Linked DNA regions of Saccharomyces cerevisiae S288C. The protein of the gene in region 1 interacts with the protein of each later gene in a biochemical or structural test. Each region holds a gene or a part of one and is shown in the gene's direction. Other genes may lie near its edges. The genes, in order: TOP3, HFM1 and RMI1.

Region 1 (6,524 bases):
TGTCGGGGAATTGGTGGGCAAATGAGGTGATTCGGCCAATATCGAAATATTGCCCCGTGTAATACTGAACACCTGACAAACAGACCAGCGCCAATTCATCTTGATTTACCTCTATGGTATCCAGGATATCTTGAGTTCTGATATAAGTCTCTCCCTCGCGTGGCTCGATCTGAATAAAAACATTCTCAGGTTCCGAAATTCCATGAATTTTGCACTGGTTGTAGAAAGCATAATAGTCTGATGGAAAGGAGCCCTTTTCAAAAAGGATCTTGAATCTTTTCTCAGTAGGTTTATAAAACGTAATTAACAATGAATTCAAATTTGCAGTGAGACTATTCATTACTGCAACTTCATTTTCTTGAGCACCCACGATGGGGGCTAGTAGTGGAAGAATAGGTAAGTCAATGCTGACCCAAGGCACCTTTCCTCTGGCTTCTTCAGGATGTTTGAAATGCGATTCCACAGCACAATCGCTCCACGCATCTAGCTCAGCATTAATTGAATTCCTAGTTGACTTCGGCATCAAACCTAAAGAATTCCCGCATAAGTACGTCACAGGCTTATCGTCGGACGATAGTCCCATGGATTTAAATGTAGGGATGTTGAATTCATCCCTCAGAGATTCCGGATATTCTCCGTCTAATTCCAAAGCTTTCTCCATAATTACCAGTTTGTTTCTTTTTTCCACAGAATATTTAGGCTTAATATGTACGTATTGACAGCATATATATTTGCTGTCTTGAATTTATTATGCTAATAAATAATTATGTTTTTCAAGCGCAGTCACCTATTTCCAAAGCGATGGGTTTGTCCGTGCCGTAGACGGCATCCCGTCGTTTTAATAACCGTTATAAAAACCGCCCCCATATTTTCGTGGGTTGACGACGACAGGCGTGGACGACGTTAATTGACGTCGTCATAATATATTTCATATTATGATTTTTTCCCTCACCATTACTTGTTCTCTCAAGTAGGAGTATCTGGCACTTGGACGGTGATGTCCTCATCAGCATCAATTGCTTCGTCTGGATATGAGAGAAAATCAGAGGATAGTGGGCCAGTGATAGTTTTTCTCCCTCGTGAAGCAGCATGTTTTACCAACTCAGAAGAAACGCCATCTTTTTCTGGGAGCGGAGACAATTTTTTTGTTCTCCGGACATTTGCAAATTGTTTTTCCAGTTCTGTCACAGCTATTTTCCCGGCTCTTTTGCGCTGTTGTTCATCTCTTTTGGCCTCAACTTTTCTCGAAGAGACTACTCTTTCCTGTTGTGTTTTTACATTTATTTTGGAGGAAATTTCCGATAATGCTATTTGGCGTTTTATTTTAATATTTGGGCTTATTAAATCAAACTTATATTTGCTGGCATTCCATATGACGCCGGTGTCATTTTTCTCTAAAAATTTCATGCCAGAAAATATTATTGATCTAATTCGCAGAACACATTCTTCTTTTGGAGAAAGCACTTTAGTCAATGTAGGGCATCCAATTATATTATTAATCATGTCGGGAGAATCATACACATAATCGTCATTAAAATCTGTTAGTGCAAAGTTAATGCAAGAAAATTCCCTGAAAATAATATCTTCTCTAAAAAGATAGCTTCTTTTCGGCCTGTGGCTATATATATTTCCTGAACAATTCAGTGGACTATTTATCAAGTCGTTCAGCAACAAGGCGAATGAAGTGCAAAACTTCCTGTGTCTGTGAGTGTACTGCAAAATAGATCTATATGACTTAATCCAGCACATAAGCAAACGAATAATGGCTAGATATCGAAAGTCTTCCATGTTTTTTTGCCAGGAGGGTTTGATGACGACGTCTATGATATTAGCAATAAAATCAAAGCTCAAGTCTAAAAAAAAAACCTGGCGCTCACTCAAATCTGCATATTTGAGTTTGTTCTTTTGTTCCTTACTTTTTCGAGTTGTAAACATAAGATCGAAACTTCCCATTGTGGCAGCCAAGTTTTCAAGTATAACATTAATATTACCTGAATGATACTTTAATGCAGCCATTTGTAAATGCTCTTTCAATAACCAACAATTAGAAGCACGTGATGCGTTCCATGACTGTGGAACCAAAGTGTGTTCTACTATCGATAGAAATTGCAAAACAATTTGACCTTCAAAGAATGATTTCTCACCTTTGAGATCTTTTGACACAAGAATTGCCAATTTTTTCATCAGACGTCTTCTTTCCGGAAAATCAGGAGTCAAAATGAAATCTTTCAAATTGTTTAACGCACATTTAGACGGAATCCTTACCAATGCTCCTCTTACTAATTCAAAGAAATACAGTGAGAATTTCCCAGTGATCAAGTAAATTTTCGCTCGTTGAAAATAAGTATCTCCAACGGCTGGGAGATAGAGTGAGGCAATATTCAAGTACCTAATAGACTTCTCAAAACCTTCCACACTCTTGGGTTTGTTAGACGGCTTGTTTAGTAGTGTTTTATAAAAATGTGTGGAACCTAGATTAATCACGCATCTTTGTAGTGAGATTACAATGGAAAACGTCAGTGGATTACTCGTGTTTAAGATAATTTTCTCATGAGTTGAAAGTCCATCTGTGTATTGCATTAAATTCAACTTCGCGAAGAGAGCATTTGAAATAACGGAATTCATATCGTACTTTGCGCATAGGTGTTCGATGATGTCATAGTAATACCTGTGTGTAATTTTGAAAAATTGAATCATTTTTTTTTGAAAAATTCTAAAAACTCTGAACTTTCTTCTGTTACTTAGTCGCATGATATCATGGAACCAGTGCTCAAACCATTGGAGTGTAGGTTCGTGAATTTGAAGCCATAAAAGTTTCAGAACCAATGGTATCACGGAATCATTTATGCGTTCGTAATTGTTATTATGGTACATATTTTCTTGTTTCAAAAGTAGCTCTTCGAGAAACCTAGTAGATTTGCGATGTATTCCATCCAGGAAGCATCTGAACGTGATATATGCATTTTCATCGCATGTCAACCTTGATGTTAGATGTTTATCCAGATGCGCACGAGCGTTCTTGAAAAATAATCTCATACATTCTTCGTTAACTTCTTCATTATCCATTATCTATGGTGGCATGTGTCATTTAATGGAATATACTTTTTCCCCTGATAAGTTTGCTAAAAACGGTCGGATCATACAGGCATGTTAACATTTCCATTATCCTTTTTGACATTGGATAATGGCGTGAACGCGAAAATCACATTGATAAAAAAAAGCAGTTTGGCGAATTAGTAACTGTCAATAAAGAGGGCATCGCTTTTGAAAGCACCTTCGTCTGTGCGCTCGCTTCAGCTACGTAAAGGTGTATTATAGACAATAATGAAAGTGCTATGTGTCGCAGAGAAAAATTCTATAGCGAAGGCAGTTTCACAGATCCTAGGAGGAGGCAGATCAACTTCAAGGGATTCCGGCTACATGTATGTAAAGAACTATGATTTCATGTTTAGTGGGTTCCCGTTTGCCAGAAATGGGGCTAACTGCGAAGTTACCATGACTAGTGTTGCAGGGCACCTAACAGGCATTGATTTCAGCCATGATTCGCATGGGTGGGGAAAATGCGCCATCCAAGAGTTATTTGATGCGCCACTGAACGAGATTATGAATAACAACCAAAAAAAGATAGCAAGCAACATCAAGCGAGAAGCGAGGAATGCAGACTATCTGATGATATGGACAGATTGCGACCGGGAAGGAGAGTACATCGGTTGGGAGATATGGCAGGAGGCCAAGAGAGGCAACAGGCTCATACAAAATGATCAAGTATACCGGGCAGTCTTTTCGCATCTCGAAAGACAACACATATTAAATGCAGCACGAAACCCAAGTCGATTGGATATGAAGAGTGTGCACGCTGTAGGCACGCGGATTGAAATCGATCTTCGAGCAGGTGTTACATTCACCAGACTCTTAACAGAAACGCTACGAAATAAACTGAGAAACCAAGCCACCATGACCAAGGATGGTGCAAAACACCGCGGTGGTAACAAGAACGACTCACAAGTCGTATCGTATGGTACATGCCAGTTTCCAACGCTCGGCTTTGTAGTAGACAGGTTTGAAAGAATACGAAATTTTGTTCCCGAAGAGTTCTGGTATATCCAATTGGTAGTCGAAAACAAAGACAACGGCGGAACAACAACGTTCCAGTGGGACAGGGGCCACTTGTTCGACCGGCTGAGCGTGTTAACGTTTTACGAGACATGCATCGAAACCGCCGGCAATGTTGCTCAAGTAGTAGACTTGAAATCAAAGCCAACAACGAAATACAGACCTTTACCTCTGACCACAGTGGAGCTACAAAAAAACTGCGCCCGGTACCTGCGTCTGAACGCCAAACAATCACTAGACGCAGCAGAAAAGCTATACCAAAAGGGGTTCATATCGTATCCAAGAACAGAGACTGATACTTTCCCACACGCAATGGACCTAAAATCCTTGGTCGAAAAGCAAGCTCAATTGGACCAACTCGCTGCAGGCGGCAGAACCGCCTGGGCATCGTACGCGGCATCGCTGCTCCAACCCGAAAACACAAGTAACAATAACAAGTTCAAGTTTCCACGAAGCGGCTCCCATGACGACAAAGCGCATCCACCAATCCACCCCATCGTAAGTCTGGGGCCTGAAGCAAATGTTTCGCCAGTGGAAAGAAGAGTATACGAGTACGTGGCCAGGCACTTTTTGGCATGCTGCTCAGAGGACGCCAAGGGCCAATCGATGACCCTTGTGTTGGACTGGGCCGTTGAACGTTTCTCAGCTTCAGGTCTCGTAGTCCTAGAGAGAAATTTCCTCGATGTTTACCCTTGGGCCCGATGGGAAACCACCAAGCAGTTACCGCGGCTTGAAATGAATGCCCTCGTAGACATCGCGAAGGCCGAAATGAAGGCGGGCACTACGGCGCCGCCCAAGCCGATGACTGAGAGTGAACTCATTCTCCTCATGGATACAAACGGCATTGGCACAGACGCCACCATTGCGGAGCACATAGACAAGATCCAAGTACGTAATTACGTTAGGAGCGAGAAAGTAGGCAAGGAAACCTACTTACAACCCACGACCCTGGGTGTCTCACTAGTGCACGGCTTCGAGGCCATCGGCCTCGAAGACTCCTTTGCAAAGCCCTTCCAGCGCAGAGAAATGGAGCAAGACCTCAAGAAAATCTGCGAAGGTCATGCCTCCAAGACTGATGTTGTAAAGGACATAGTCGAGAAGTATAGGAAGTACTGGCACAAGACGAATGCCTGCAAGAATACTCTCTTGCAAGTTTATGACCGTGTCAAGGCATCCATGTAAGGCGTTTTTGCCGCCCTTTGTCTTCAAAAAAGCTCTCCGCTTAATTGCATGATTCAGCTGACTGCATATGTGCATTTTCAGTACCAGCCGCAACTGCATCAAACCATGCAGAAGTCGCCGCCACAGAAGCTCCAGCGCGCCGCGTAAACGCATGTTGGAAGGCGCCCCAATTAGCATATTCACGCGCGACTACCAAACGCATAGGGAAGGTTTCAGAGAGCCGATGAGCAGCGGATGCACAGAGTACGGCCATAAGGCTGCAAAGCGCTTGGCAGGAATGGGCGTTTTCTAGAGGTTGCCTTATTGATTTATATGGAAGAGGAGAGGATTCATCGATCGGGCTTCTAAGGCAAATAGTATGCATACCTTTTTCGGGTAGTTGAAGAGAAAAGAGGAAGAGAATAGAAAAAAAAAAAAAGCGAAATTTTTACATCCTCTATTGTAATGTAATTTCTTTTTTTTTATTAGGTATATATGTGAGATACAATTCTCGAAGTCATCGGGAAGCTTTACCATTTCATTTCCTATTCCAGAACTCATATTAGCATCTATTGTTCTGAGATTCATCGCAACATCATTTAAAGGACTGTAGAGCCAATTGCATTATATCAATATGAGTTTCGGTAGTAAAGTCTCCAGGGCTTTGAGATTTTTGGAAATTCCTGTCAAAGACAGGGCATCTGTGAGTTTCTTGAAGAACCCGGATTTGCAACCTATTAAGTCGGCTAACCAAACATGGGGGTTCTGGTCTAATTTTGCATATTGGGGTGTTATGTCCTTTTCAGTGGGTACATGGATGAGTGCCTCTTCTGCACTAGGTGTTGGATTAAGTTACCCAGAAACCATTGGTACATTTATCGTCGGTGATGTGTTGACCATTATTTTCACATTGGCAAACTCGTGTCCTGGTTACGACTGGAAGGTCGGTTTCACTTTGGCCCAAAGATTCGTCTTTGGTATTTACGGTTCTGCCTTCGGTATCATCATCAGAATTTTGATGAGTATTGTCAACTACGGGTCCAACGCTTGGGTGGGAGGTCTTTGTATCAATATGATCTTGGATTCATGGTCTCACCATTATTTGCACCTGCCAAACACCTTATCTTCGAAAGTTGCCATGACCACTAAAGAATTAATTGGTTTTATCATCTTCCACGTCCTTACTGCATTCTGTTACTTAATGAAACCCTACCACATGAACTACATTTTAATTTGGTCGTGTGTTGCTA
Region 2 (8,253 bases), on another chromosome or scaffold:
ATACCTAGAATGATTGCAAATTCTTTTCAGAGGATCCCATACCAAATCCTTTAGGTCTTCTTTTTCTAGACACCATATTTTATAGTTCTTTTTCTCAATTGGCTTATTCTTTTTCAATTTTTTCATTCTTATTTTAAAAAATTCTAGTTTATTAAATTGAGCATCAAAGAGTTCATCATAACGTTTTTCAAACGTATTAAGCTGTTGATCATGTTCTGGGACTTTCACAACCCAGCTTTGCGAACTGGTCTTGAAATTGTACTTACTGCACCTACTCTTATATTTGAAAGATTTCTCAGGTGAGATCCGTTGTAAACGGTATCTATTGTAGGTTTGCTCAAAAATTTGGGGCTTCCATTCTGACAAAGGTTTATCAGAAAATCCAACGCAGAAGTTCAACTTTTCCTCCGTTAGTGTGCTGCATTGCACTTCCAGTACAGAGGACATTTGTCTTAAACTCGGATATGGTACCTTTTTCCTGTATTGACTTCTTCTGAGAAGTGGGATGTTGAACCACTCTAACCTCGTGTTATCGTCTGCCAAACCGTGTTCCGTCATTTTTTGGTGAAGAGGAGCATTTAATTGAACTGAAAGACTTTTCATCCAGCTAAAAAATAACATGTCCTGTTTCCCGACTTTTAACTTTTCCTTGAATAACTCATACTGTAGTTCTTCTTTGTTGTCATTCTCAATGTTAGTCACATTCCATGTTTTGCCAACGGCTACATCTATTTTTTGTCTTCCAGAGGTGATGTGAATTACCTCCAAAAAATACTCTTCACCATTGATCGTGCCGCAGTTTTCATACCCTCCGATTTTCAGTGGTTTAAGTTGCAAATTTCTTAGCTCTTTCAAATATTTTTGTGCTCGTCTTCCCAGTTTGATGTTTTCTTTTAAGTTTCCTGACAGAACAGAATAGCCGCCCACATTTTGGTTACATTTAGATAACTTTACTTCCCAACGTTCAATAATCATAGTATTTTTGTAATATGATCTATTTCTCTAAATTGATTCAATTACTCGAGCTCGTTAACAATGGTGTGGCACTATTGAGTGATTTTCTTCTCCTGAAACATATTTTATGCTTGTATTTTACATATCCTAACAGAAAATACTTTCAGCAATTCTTCCGAAAGTAAAACTTGAAAAAAATTGAAGAAAATGACGAAAAAACAATACAAAACAATAATACAATTCGCTACAAAAAAGGGGGAAGGGCTATCAGAAATCGAATATGGACCTTTGCATCATCCAAAATTAATGAATACTTAACTGCTGACTATACAAACGAAAAAGAAGGCGACCTTAAATATTACACAGAGCCAATAATTTATTCGCGGGAGAAGATTCTCAAAAGGAATCCGTGACTGGGAAATCAGAAACTCACCGTTGGACATCAGGATTTCCCACGATCAGTGCTGATTAAACATGGCTACTTTAGTCTTCAGAATCCTCACCTACGTCATCATCTATGTCCATTACAATGACTTCTGAAGTATTCTGGTGTGTATATTGGTCATTGTCATCCACAATTAAGGGATGCGTTTCATCGTTAGAAAATGGCTTTATGTTTTTCAACGTAGCTGAGCTTTCAGTTAATTCAACCAAGGCGTTGTACCGAGAGACAAATCTTGGCCTTGTACTTAATTCAATAGCCAAGTGCGTCGGTATATCAGTTTCAAAATTAGACTCCGATCTTTCCTTCAGGATTTTAAATATAGTATAAACATCGCTGAATGAAATATGGTTGTTGTAGACATTATCTTCGAACAAGGTCAAATCGAGGCTTTTCAGTTGTAAAACCAACTCCTTCGTAGCAAAAGCCAACCTGCCAAAACGATTTCCCATAAATTTACGAATGGATTCCATGAATTCCCCCATGGGTCGCTGATAAAGAGCAGCGTTTTCACATATTATGGGGTTGTTACTTTCGTTCTTATCATCCGACGTGAACAACAGAAATGTAGTATCTTTATATTCCACGGTGACTTTGGGCAATTCGCTTTTCATTAAAGTCTCTGCCACGTTGCGTATACGGGCGTCCGATGGTTGTTCCTCCACGAGTTCATCATCATACTCCAAAAGGTCTTCTTCATCGCCCTCATCCAATTGAACCCCGACGTCATCCACCTCCACTGTTTTATGCGCTTCTTCTTCACTCATCTTTGATTCCATTGATACCAACAAAAACAATCTTTAACTACGTATCTTTTCCTTTACGTATATATAATTAATCATATATACTTCCCTTTTTTATGCCTTGTTGTAGTTTTAACATATCATGTACCACGAATGGATGCAGGCTCGGCGGGTATTTAGACTTTGCCCCGGATTATAAACAAAACGGGACTATTAGTATCATCTATCAAGAAATCCTTTCATTGAAAATGATTGATACCTCAAGGTGGATTTGACAACTTAAGAGGCGTCGTAAGGATGAAAACAAAGTTTGATCGCCTCGGTACAGGAAAAAGAAGTAGACCCTCTCCAAATAGTAGTAACGAAGCTTAGCAACACCCTTATCAGTTTACACCATATCGGACAACAACAGTATTTTGACTAACATTGTTACCTCTTTCTTTTATTATCTAGCGGAAATGCAACCAAAAGTGGTTTTTCTGGACTAGAATTTCAGAGGACTTATAGATATTGACTTTAACGACCAGTCTGCTACATTTAAAAGAAATAAGAAAAATAGCCGCCAACCAAGTTTTAAAGTAGGTTTGTCTTATAACAGTTTACTGGATGATTGTGATGATGAAAATGAAACAGAGGAAATATTTGAGGGCCGTGGTCTGCAATTCTTCGACAAAGACGATAATTTTTCAATAACAGCAGATGATACACAAGTAACTAGTAAATTATTTGATCACGATTTAGAGCAGACACCTGATGAAGAGGCGAAGAAACCTAAGAAGGTCACGATAAGGAAATCAGCGAAGAAATGTTTGAGCACGACCATATTACCAGATTCATTCAGAGGGGTTTTTAAATTTACAGAATTTAATAAAATGCAATCAGAGGCTTTTCCTAGTATTTATGAGAGTAACGAGAACTGCATAATTTCTTCACCAACCGGATCAGGCAAGACTGTATTATTTGAATTGGCAATATTACGTCTTATAAAGGAAACAAATAGTGATACCAATAACACCAAAATTATATACATCGCGCCAACCAAATCTCTATGTTACGAGATGTACAAGAACTGGTTTCCTTCCTTTGTGAATCTTTCTGTTGGTATGCTTACTAGTGATACCTCTTTTCTGGAAACTGAAAAGGCTAAAAAATGTAACATAATAATTACGACACCAGAAAAATGGGATTTGTTAACAAGAAGATGGTCCGATTACAGCCGATTATTCGAATTGGTCAAACTTGTCCTAGTTGATGAGATTCATACCATAAAGGAGAAAAGAGGAGCATCTTTGGAAGTAATTCTGACAAGGATGAATACAATGTGTCAAAACATTCGGTTTGTTGCTTTAAGTGCAACAGTTCCAAATATAGAAGACCTAGCATTGTGGCTCAAAACTAACAACGAGCTTCCTGCAAATATTCTTTCTTTTGACGAATCGTACAGGCAAGTTCAGTTAACGAAGTTTGTTTATGGGTACTCCTTCAATTGCAAAAATGACTTCCAAAAAGATGCTATATATAATTCCAAATTGATTGAAATAATTGAAAAGCATGCCGATAATCGTCCCGTACTAATATTTTGTCCGACTAGGGCTTCAACTATATCAACAGCAAAATTTTTATTAAATAATCATATTTTTTCAAAAAGTAAGAAAAGATGTAATCATAATCCCTCCGATAAAATATTAAATGAATGTATGCAACAAGGTATCGCTTTCCATCATGCTGGAATTTCTTTAGAAGACCGTACTGCCGTTGAGAAAGAATTTCTTGCAGGTTCAATTAATATATTGTGTTCAACTTCAACGTTAGCTGTTGGTGTGAACCTTCCCGCATATTTGGTCATTATCAAAGGCACCAAAAGTTGGAACTCTTCTGAAATCCAAGAGTATTCAGACCTAGATGTACTGCAAATGATTGGGCGGGCAGGAAGACCTCAATTTGAAACTCACGGGTGCGCAGTAATCATGACAGACTCTAAAATGAAGCAAACATATGAAAACTTAATTCATGGAACTGACGTTTTGGAAAGTTCATTACATTTGAATTTGATCGAGCATTTAGCAGCAGAAACCTCTTTGGAAACTGTATATTCAATTGAAACTGCAGTAAATTGGCTACGAAACACATTCTTTTACGTTAGATTTGGGAAGAATCCAGCTGCATATCAAGAGGTGAACAGATACGTTAGTTTTCATTCCGTTGAAGACTCTCAGATAAATCAATTCTGTCAGTATTTGCTTGACACCTTAGTAAAAGTGAAAATAATCGATATCAGCAATGGGGAGTACAAATCTACAGCGTACGGAAATGCAATGACGCGACATTATATATCCTTTGAGTCGATGAAACAATTCATTAACGCAAAAAAATTTCTATCATTACAAGGGATACTAAATTTACTGGCCACTTCTGAAGAGTTTTCAGTTATGAGGGTGAGGCACAATGAAAAAAAATTGTTCAAAGAAATCAATTTATCGCCACTTTTGAAATATCCATTTTTAACCGAGAAGAAACAGAGCCAAATAATTGACAGGGTTAGTCAAAAGGTTTCTCTTTTGATTCAATATGAGTTAGGTGGGTTAGAATTTCCATCATACGAAGGCGCTTCTAAACTACATCAAACTCTTGTTCAGGATAAATTCCTCGTTTTTAGACATTGTTTTAGATTACTAAAATGCATGGTAGACACATTTATTGAAAAAAGTGATGGAACATCACTGAAAAATACTTTGTTCTTACTGCGAAGCCTGAATGGTCACTGCTGGGAAAACACGCCAATGGTTCTTAGGCAATTGAAAACAATTGGACTAGTTTCAGTAAGAAGGCTAATACGACATGGAATTACCAATCTAGAAGAAATGGGGCATTTGTCAGATACTCAGATTGAATACTATCTTAACCTCAAGATTGGAAACGGCATAAAAATTAAAAACGACATTTCTTTGTTGCCTTGTCTGAATATTAGAACAAAACTAGAAAATTGCAAAATAGAAAATGAAGAGTTGTGGTTGACATTTAAAGTTGAGATTAGTGCAACATTCAAGTCTAGCATTTGGCATGGTCAGCACCTCTCATTAGATATCGAAACCGAGAAAAGCTCAGGAGAGTTAATCGACTTTAGAAGATTGCAAGTTAACAAACTACAGTCACCAAGGGGCTTTAGAATTTCAGCAAAAATATCACCAAAACTAGAAAAAATAGAATTCTCAATTCATTGCCAAGAAATCGCCGGACTCGGCAAAACAATCGTATATTCCACTGATCATTTGGCATCACAGTTCTCTGCGAAGACACCAAATATAAGGAAAGATCTAAATAGTTTAGAAAAATGCCTCTTCTATGAAAGCAGTAGTGACGGAGAAGTGGGGAAAACGTCTAGGGTTTCCCATAAAGATGGATTAGAAGAATCGCTATCCTCAGATGATAGTATACTAGATTATTTGAATGAAAGGAAGAAATCATCAAAGGCGGTTGAATCTGCAGCAGTTATTCACCCGGAGGCACACTCTTCTTCACATTTTAGTAATGGCCGCCAAGTAAGATCTAATGGCAATTACGAGTGTTTTCATAGCTGCAAAGACAAAACGCAATGCAGACATTTATGTTGTAAAGAGGGTATTCCAGTAAAGTATATAAAAGAAAAAGGACCCTCCTCAATCAAGCCAGTATCAAAACCTGATCAAATACGCCAGCCACTGCTTGCAAAAAATATCAACACAACCCCTCACCTGGAAAAAAGACTGAATAGTAAACCAAAGCAGTGGCAAGAAGAAAATACAGATATTGCGACAGTTCATACACTTCCTTCAAAAATTTATAATCTATCGCAACAGATGTCGTCTATGGAAGCGGGTGAACAAGTCCTAAAATCAGGCCCCGAAAACTGCCCTGAAATAATTCCTATTGATCTTGAATCATCCGATAGTTATTCTAGTAATACAGCGGCGAGCTCAATAAGTGATCCGAATGGTGATCTGGATTTCTTGGGTTCCGATATAGAGTTTGAATGAGCGGCATGGCCGGGAACAATAGACATTACTGATATTCATTACCCCAATCCTTTCTGTTATTTGTATTGCTTCCCAACAGAAGTTAGCATGTGTGAGAGTTTACTTATAATGCTTTGTTTTTAAAATGCAGCCAGTGGTGAAACAATTGGAACCTTTACTATTTATTAGGGAACAAGATGACATTGTCAATTGATATATTACTATTGTTACATATCGTGCTATTTATCATTTCAATTATTAGTCACATGACCGCGATAAGCGATCCGGGTCAGAATGCCGAGATAGGATAACTTTGCCGGCGGAGTTCCTAGATCAATTGAAAGAATCGAAGTGAGATTAGTAATTCATTCATATGTACCTTTTAAAAAAGAAACTCACTCTTGGAAGTGTCCTTTACTAAGGATTGTTTTGAACGAAAAGTGTAGGCGTGCCACAAATGTCAACACTTAGCGATAGTGATACCGAGACTGAGGTCGTGTCGAGAAACTTGTGTGGAATCGTCGACATAGGTTCTAATGGTATTCGTTTTAGTATATCTTCCAAGGCTGCACATCATGCAAGAATTATGCCTTGTGTTTTTAAAGATAGGGTTGGTCTTTCTCTATACGAAGTTCAATATAATACACATACGAACGCAAAATGCCCTATTCCCAGAGATATTATAAAAGAGGTTTGTTCTGCCATGAAGAGATTCAAATTAATTTGCGATGATTTTGGTGTACCTGAAACTAGTGTCAGAGTAATTGCAACAGAAGCCACGCGAGATGCTATTAACGCGGATGAATTTGTTAATGCTGTTTACGGTAGCACTGGCTGGAAAGTAGAAATATTAGGCCAGGAAGATGAAACTAGGGTCGGCATATATGGTGTTGTTTCCTCATTTAATACAGTAAGAGGTCTATATCTAGATGTGGCAGGTGGTAGTACTCAGTTATCATGGGTAATAAGCTCGCACGGAGAAGTCAAGCAATCCAGCAAACCTGTATCTTTGCCATATGGAGCTGGAACTCTTTTGAGAAGAATGAGAACAGATGATAATAGGGCACTTTTTTATGAGATTAAAGAAGCGTACAAAGATGCGATTGAAAAAATTGGTATACCTCAAGAAATGATTGATGACGCCAAGAAAGAAGGTGGATTTGACCTTTGGACCCGTGGGGGTGGTTTAAGAGGTATGGGACATCTGCTTCTTTACCAGTCGGAAGGTTATCCCATCCAAACAATAATTAACGGATATGCTTGCACTTATGAAGAATTCTCGTCTATGTCAGATTATCTATTCCTAAAACAAAAAATACCAGGTTCTTCAAAAGAGCATAAAATATTTAAGGTTTCTGATAGAAGGGCTTTACAACTTCCTGCCGTTGGTTTGTTCATGAGTGCTGTTTTTGAAGCGATTCCCCAGATCAAAGCTGTACATTTTAGTGAGGGTGGTGTTCGAGAGGGTTCACTTTATTCTCTTCTTCCAAAAGAAATTCGTGCACAAGATCCATTGCTAATTGCGTCCCGTCCTTATGCTCCATTACTTACTGAAAAATATCTATATCTATTGAGAACATCAATCCCACAAGAAGATATACCAGAAATAGTAAACGAAAGGATTGCTCCTGCTTTATGTAACTTAGCATTTGTTCATGCCTCTTATCCAAAGGAGTTACAACCAACAGCTGCATTACATGTTGCTACAAGAGGGATAATAGCCGGCTGTCATGGATTATCTCACAGAGCTAGAGCGCTGATAGGAATTGCTCTATGTAGTAGATGGGGCGGCAACATTCCGGAATCTGAAGAAAAATACTCCCAAGAATTAGAACAAGTAGTTCTACGCGAAGGTGATAAAGCTGAAGCATTGAGAATTGTATGGTGGACGAAGTATATTGGTACGATTATGTATGTGATTTGCGGTGTTCATCCAGGTGGTAATATCAGAGATAACGTATTTGATTTCCATGTTTCTAAGCGTAGTGAGGTGGAGACCAGTTTAAAAGAATTAATCATTGATGATGCAAACACTACAAAGGTAAAAGAAGAATCCACGCGTAAAAATCGCGGGTATGAAGTGGTTGTGAGAATTAGTAAGGACGATCTTAAAACAAGTGCT
Region 3 (5,608 bases), on another chromosome or scaffold:
CCTGGTATTTTGCAATGCGATTAAAGGAACTTTACAGATGCTGTGAAAGGTCTTTTACTAACGCGGCAAATAGAGGAAAGGCAAGGTTATTGCGGGGGAAGCAAAGGACGAAAAAATCGTATCATAAGACTGTCAACCTGGTATCAGCGAAGATTTCCACCCATTCAAATGCGCCGTCGCCGGGCTGAGAAACAAAAAAAGTGACTAAGTTCTGTCATTCTATCATTATTGTAATTAGTTATGTAGGACATATATATCCATAGTGATCTCCTTTTGATCAAAGAAGACACTGAAAAGTCGTAAGTTCGTAAAAAAAGTATGAAAATCGTTCCAGCCATTGCTTATAGCCATCCTAGTAGGATACTAGAAAAAAAACAAACCTCAAAGATAAAAAGAAAAGGTGAAGCTATTACCGAATTAGAACATAAGATAATACAGTGAGTATAAAGGTGAGACCTGCTCAATAATCTGGTAACCATTTCTCGTTTGGACCGTCTGTTAAAGTAGAAAAATTCATTTGTAAGCATAATAGCCTATTTCTTAATGTATCTTGTTGGAATTTGCAATCTTTGGAAGCACTAACGTCATCGATATCAGATTGGTAAGGTGTACTGTCCATTGAGGAAGTTAAAAAGGTACTATTATTGTGGTTGTTAGTGTATTCATACTTTTCCATACTTCCGTCACTATTATACGTTGATGGAATATCACTCTCCGGTTCAGCATCTTCCTCTTCTTGCTGCTGTTGTGCTTGTTCCTGGTTTTGTATTTGTTCTTGTTTTTGTTCCTGTTCTTGTTCTTGGACTTGCTGTTGTTGTTGTTGCTGTTGTTGTTGTTGTTCTTGGTCTGCAGAAAAATGTGATAAATCGCTCAAAAATAGGTTTTCATTCCTTATAATATGCGTCATGTAAACTTCGCTCGATAGGATTGGAACTTGAGACAAGGGCCCTTCCCTGGTGAAAGAAGTAAGAGAGGAAACTTCGGACATCAAAGTTTTCATGTCTATTCTTGTGTATGGATTTAGTTGTAGAATTTTCGTCAACACTGTGAACAGCTCATCTGATATAGGAAGGATTTTCTTCAGGACATTATTATCGTTAGCAAAATGTTGAAATGTGTTATCCTCCTTCTGGTGAGCTTTTAACCATGGGTTTCTTATGCAAGTTAAATTAATTAGGATGATGCCTAGAGACCATATATCTCCTGTATCCGTAGGGAGGCTCGAACAGCATTCGTCGACGTGTATGCCGTTGGTGGTGGTATTCAAACAATACAATATTCTTTCTGGAGCCATATAATATGAACTGCCAACGCACACATTTGGAGCTAGATATTTAGATTTAGTGGAAAGCCCGAAATCGCAAAGATAAGCGTTGTCATTGCGATCCAGTAGGACATTTTCAGGTTTGATATCACAATGATATATACCGAGACGATGACAGTGATCTAATGCGGAGCAAAGCTGCAGAAAAACTTTCTTAATCAAAATACCATGATTTACAAAATGCTTATCGTCAACTATCGAGGTGAAAAGGTCCCTGTCGTAATAATCCATCACTATAAAAGTGGCAATAGAAGATTCTAAAACTTGGTGAATCTTCACGATATTGCCGTGAGACTGCACTCTTAGTTGGAAGGCAATCTCCCTGTAGTGTGGTAGCCTATTTAGTTCATTCTCAGTCAACTGTAATATCGAGTCTAGATCAACGGAAGGTAAGAACAATTTTTTTTGGAAACTTTTGAAAAAATGATACAGTTGCGTTTGCAGAAGAGTGGTTCGCGCCACTTGAGAGTTGTTGTTCAAACCGTTCTTATTATAAAACTCATCCATCGAGGAGGATTTGAAGACCGTTTTCACTGCATATTCACGGCTCGTCAGTATATCCACCACATGGAACACTAGTCCATACGCACCCGACCCTATTTGAGCCGTTATTCTGAAATTGTTCAGCAAGCAGTCTGACAGCATTTGTACACAAAATTTCTTGTCTGTGTTCTTATTTGATGTTTTCTTTTAAAGAGTTTTGTTTCCGCTAGGGCGATTTAAGTCAATAAGTAAATTTAACAATTTACTAAATATATTTTGTATAATATATAAGAATATACGCCTTAAGAATGTCCTCTCATGCGAAAAAGGTAGCAAGAGCATAAAAAGGAAAAAGAAAACGCTATAGTCATTTGTAGGCTCTTGTCTTTCTTCGTCTTCGTCCCGTGAGTGCGGACTCAGAAAACACCGCAATGATGTGGGTCCGGAATATCTATTGCACAGTTTTAGTAGGGTCACCGATATCGTTAAGGTTTGTGGTAGGAACAGAAGGTACTGCCGGCCCTGTATACTGCCCTTTTGTTCCGACCATTTCTTTTTTGCATTTGTCCCAAGATTCTCTCTCCCCACAAAATCTGCTCAAGTATCTGTCCAACGCGCTTTCTTCGGCTGATAGATAAGTTCCGATTTCGTGGGAAGCAAAAAAAAAAAAAAAAAGAAAAAAAGAGTCTGTCCGAGAAATGTCCCGGAAAACGTGGGTGTGCGGTGAGGAGATTGTACTTCCATCCCACATTCCTCGTGTTTGATTGGCTGCAAGCCACTTGATGCCTAGAAAAGAAACACCGCGTGGTGCATCTATGTCCATATCACGCGCGCTAAAACAGCATGTAGAGAGCGCGAGGGCGGCGTACTGCACCATTCTAATAGGAAATCCGGGATGAATGCCCTCTCCGGAAATACCTCCACTAAGCCTCAATGGAAAGTTGTTCCGCTCACGCGAACAGGTTTTTCCGGGGAGTCGAGAACTACAGTGACGTAAATACGACGACATCGCTAGAGCCAGCAGAAGCCTCCATACATTCAGACTAATTAGTTGACGGGCTTGAGCCAACTAGACATATTATGTAGGCACATATGCTCCAACCAATACATATGTGTACATAGAGTACAGCTCTTCCCAGCGCATCCGCTATCGTCCTCTTGACAGGTCCGGCTATTTATTATCCGCGGCATCCGCGGCCCAGCGCACAATAATAGATTACTTTGCAATGCAAGCGGTCTTGGCTGTTTGCTCTGAGGGTCCATCTTCGTTTATTTCTTTATTTACTAAATTAATTATGATACTGCACTCAGGACGGGCCAAGAAAGCATGTAGCGTGAAGAGAAACTAATTATTAAGAAAAAAGAAAAAAAAAAAAAAAAAAAAAAAGAAAAGGAAAAAGGAAAAAGATAAACCAATCATACAATCTTTACAGAAAGGGAGTACTGAGAAGAAGGCCAAAATACTGCAGAGCATACATACTACCGAGTGGATGGAATGTCTTTTTCATCTATCTTATCACAGGATATCACAGATGACATTACACCACCAGCGTATTCCGCCACCTTGGGGTCGAGAGAACAGATTGTTTTCAGAGCTTACCAAAATGAACCTTGGTTGGCTGGTACTGCTTCGAATCTTATCTTAGATAAAAAACTTGTTATTGTAGACAGAGAACTGTTGTTCCAGGTGTTGATGGTAGAGAATATCACCAAATCCAAGCTAACACAGATCGATGATATAAAAACCAAGCTGGATCCGAAAAAACAGAAAGTGGATAGACTACGATCAGGCGCGCAAGGAAATGGCGCTAAGAAGTACGAGGTCATCACTCAAGTGGACATGGAAGATGACGGGAATGTGGCGGATAACAACTGCGCCAAGGAAAATAATAGCAACAATAATAGCAGTGCCGCCAAGAATAAAGCAGTGTTTAAATTGACACTACAAAGTAAGTCGGGCGACGTTTTTTTTGCTATCAACTCGACTCCAATATCTTGGAGCTCTTGCATGCTGGGTTCTAAAATTGTGATACTGCCGGGAACTGTGTTCAATAGGGGCGTTTTCATATTGAAGGACTCACAAGTCATTTTTCTCGGCGGCATTAATAGAGTTTGGAATGAAAATAGAGATCAGAAATTTTGTGATTATTTGGAATCTAAATTACAACGTGACAAACAACTTGTAAATGGCGGCTCCAAGAAAAGGAAAGCCAATGATTAGCATATGCCTCTTCTTCTTAGAAGGGCGTTCTGCCCGTTATGTATACGTTAAATATTACATTATTTTCGCATTTTTGTATTTATATTCAGTGAAATATTAGGCTTGGTCGAGTAACATTTCCCATAGCTCGTCGGTTTCTTTGAAGTCGTGATGAACAATTGAGACAAGACAGTAGTCTTTATGCACTAGTCTTAGAAGAATATTGGCTGGGGTGTTCCTTGGAAATAACTTGGCCCACTCGGACCAGATACTAAACGCTTCATCTCTCCATGCCTTGAATGACTCTTCTTCAATGATTGTAGTCTGTTTGACCGGACTGTTGGGAAAAACACCCCATGTTACAACGCTAGAGCTGTGCGGGTCTAGGTTCGTTTCAAATGAACCAGATGAATCGCCCGCGTAATAACTGAATTTCCGACGCCCGTAATGGTCTAGCTTGGGTTTCAAAGTTGTTTCCCATTGCTGTCTATGAATAAACATTTCTACGAATGCCTTCTGATACAACCTCCCTTTCGCGGGCCCCCAGCCGAATATTTTATCACTACTCAATGTAGCATTTGTGGCAGGTTGCGATGCCAAAGTCAAATATCCGCGATAGTTTAGTTGGATTAGTTCTTCTTGTATTAACGCCGTTTCAGCTGATAAACCCAGGTCAGACCAGGGAATCGCATCCGTTGAACCTTCCAAATATTTTATAAAAATATCTTTTAAATCGCCAATTGTCTTTGGTATACCCCATAGTTCAAGCGCTTTGCTTTTGCTTACCTTGATGGATGGCCCATAACCGTCTATTTCACCATATGCGGGAGACCTGGAGTCACCAAATCTACCATTGGGGAACTCATCCCAAGTGGCATCACGACCCAAAGTTCCGTGACCTTTAGAAATAGATATTAAAGCCTTTTTAGATGGCATGGAACCATTCTCATTATTATAGCGTAAGCCTTTTTCAGTGACGATAGCCCTATTGAAAATCAACTTGGCCGAATCAAGACTTGAATGCCTTCTCCTTTTCCGGTTTGCTACAGTTTCTTCATTCGAATCATCCAACACAATATCCCCGTCAGCATCTTCTATTGGCACATTTTCTATGCTTCCTATTTCGCCACTGGTTTCATCTTCTCCCTCTTCTTCGCTAGATTCATTTACGATATGGGATAAGACGGGAGATTGCGAGACAATTTGAGCAATAGCCTTTTCCAAATTTAATGTATAGAAATGAAACCCTTTAATTCTACCAGATGTTCTTTGATATATTTCCTGAATCAATTCGATAAGAATGTCCACACCAATGGACTTCACGGCATTATCATCCGATTGGATTTCTGGGGGGAACCTACTCAGTATTGCAGGTGGAATAGATGCATGTGATAACTTTGCTGCTCTGTGGAAAAGCAGATAGGAGTTAATAGGCATCAACCCAGGGAAAAGGGGCAAATCTTGCGAAATCCGTTCCCGAAATAGCATTTCAAAAGTTAAGAATTTTTCAACGTCGTAAAACAGTTGTGTTATCACAAAATCGGCCCCAGCTTCAACTTTTTCTTTTAAATATACCAAATCCTTCAATGGGTCTTGCTCGT

What was found.
Region 2: the proteins of TOP3 (region 1) and HFM1 form a complex in vitro, tested with the Saccharomyces cerevisiae proteins (one study listed by BioGRID).
Region 3: the proteins of TOP3 (region 1) and RMI1 form a complex in vitro, tested with the Saccharomyces cerevisiae proteins (3 studies listed by BioGRID, with this or other methods).

The regions. Positions count from the first base shown.
Region 1 is NC_001144.5:606,459-612,982, forward strand, and holds TOP3 (DNA topoisomerase 3), read left to right. Parts: upstream 1-3,324; coding exon 3,325-5,295; downstream 5,296-6,524. Other genes in the region: BNA5 (kynureninase), read right to left, coding at 1-661; EST1 (Est1p), read right to left, coding at 967-3,066; YLR236C (uncharacterized protein), read right to left, coding at 5,336-5,659; thiamine transporter THI7, read left to right, coding at 5,909-6,524. UniProt on the Saccharomyces cerevisiae protein: Releases the supercoiling and torsional tension of DNA introduced during the DNA replication and transcription by transiently cleaving and rejoining one strand of the DNA duplex.
Region 2 is NC_001139.9:25,820-34,072, reverse strand, and holds HFM1 (DNA helicase), read left to right. Parts: upstream 1-2,436; coding exon 2,437-2,494; intron 2,495-2,646; coding exon 2,647-6,152; downstream 6,153-8,253. Other genes in the region: ZIP2 (Zip2p), read right to left, coding at 1-975; RMR1 (Rmr1p), read right to left, coding at 1,438-2,163; RTG2 (Rtg2p), read left to right, coding at 6,589-8,253. UniProt on the Saccharomyces cerevisiae protein: DNA-dependent ATPase and 3'-5' DNA helicase. Required in the control of double strand break transition and crossover during meiosis. ATPase is slightly better stimulated by single-stranded (ss) than double-stranded (ds)DNA.
Region 3 is NC_001148.4:500,215-505,822, forward strand, and holds RMI1 (Rmi1p), read left to right. Parts: upstream 1-3,302; coding exon 3,303-4,028; downstream 4,029-5,608. Other genes in the region: SMA1 (Sma1p), read left to right, coding at 1-188; putative serine/threonine protein kinase SKS1, read right to left, coding at 461-1,969; methylenetetrahydrofolate reductase (NAD(P)H) MET12, read right to left, coding at 4,125-5,608. UniProt on the Saccharomyces cerevisiae protein: Structure-specific DNA-binding protein with a preference for cruciform structures. Also binds single-stranded DNA (ssDNA). Functions together with SGS1 and TOP3 to maintain genome integrity. Essential for proper meiotic cell division.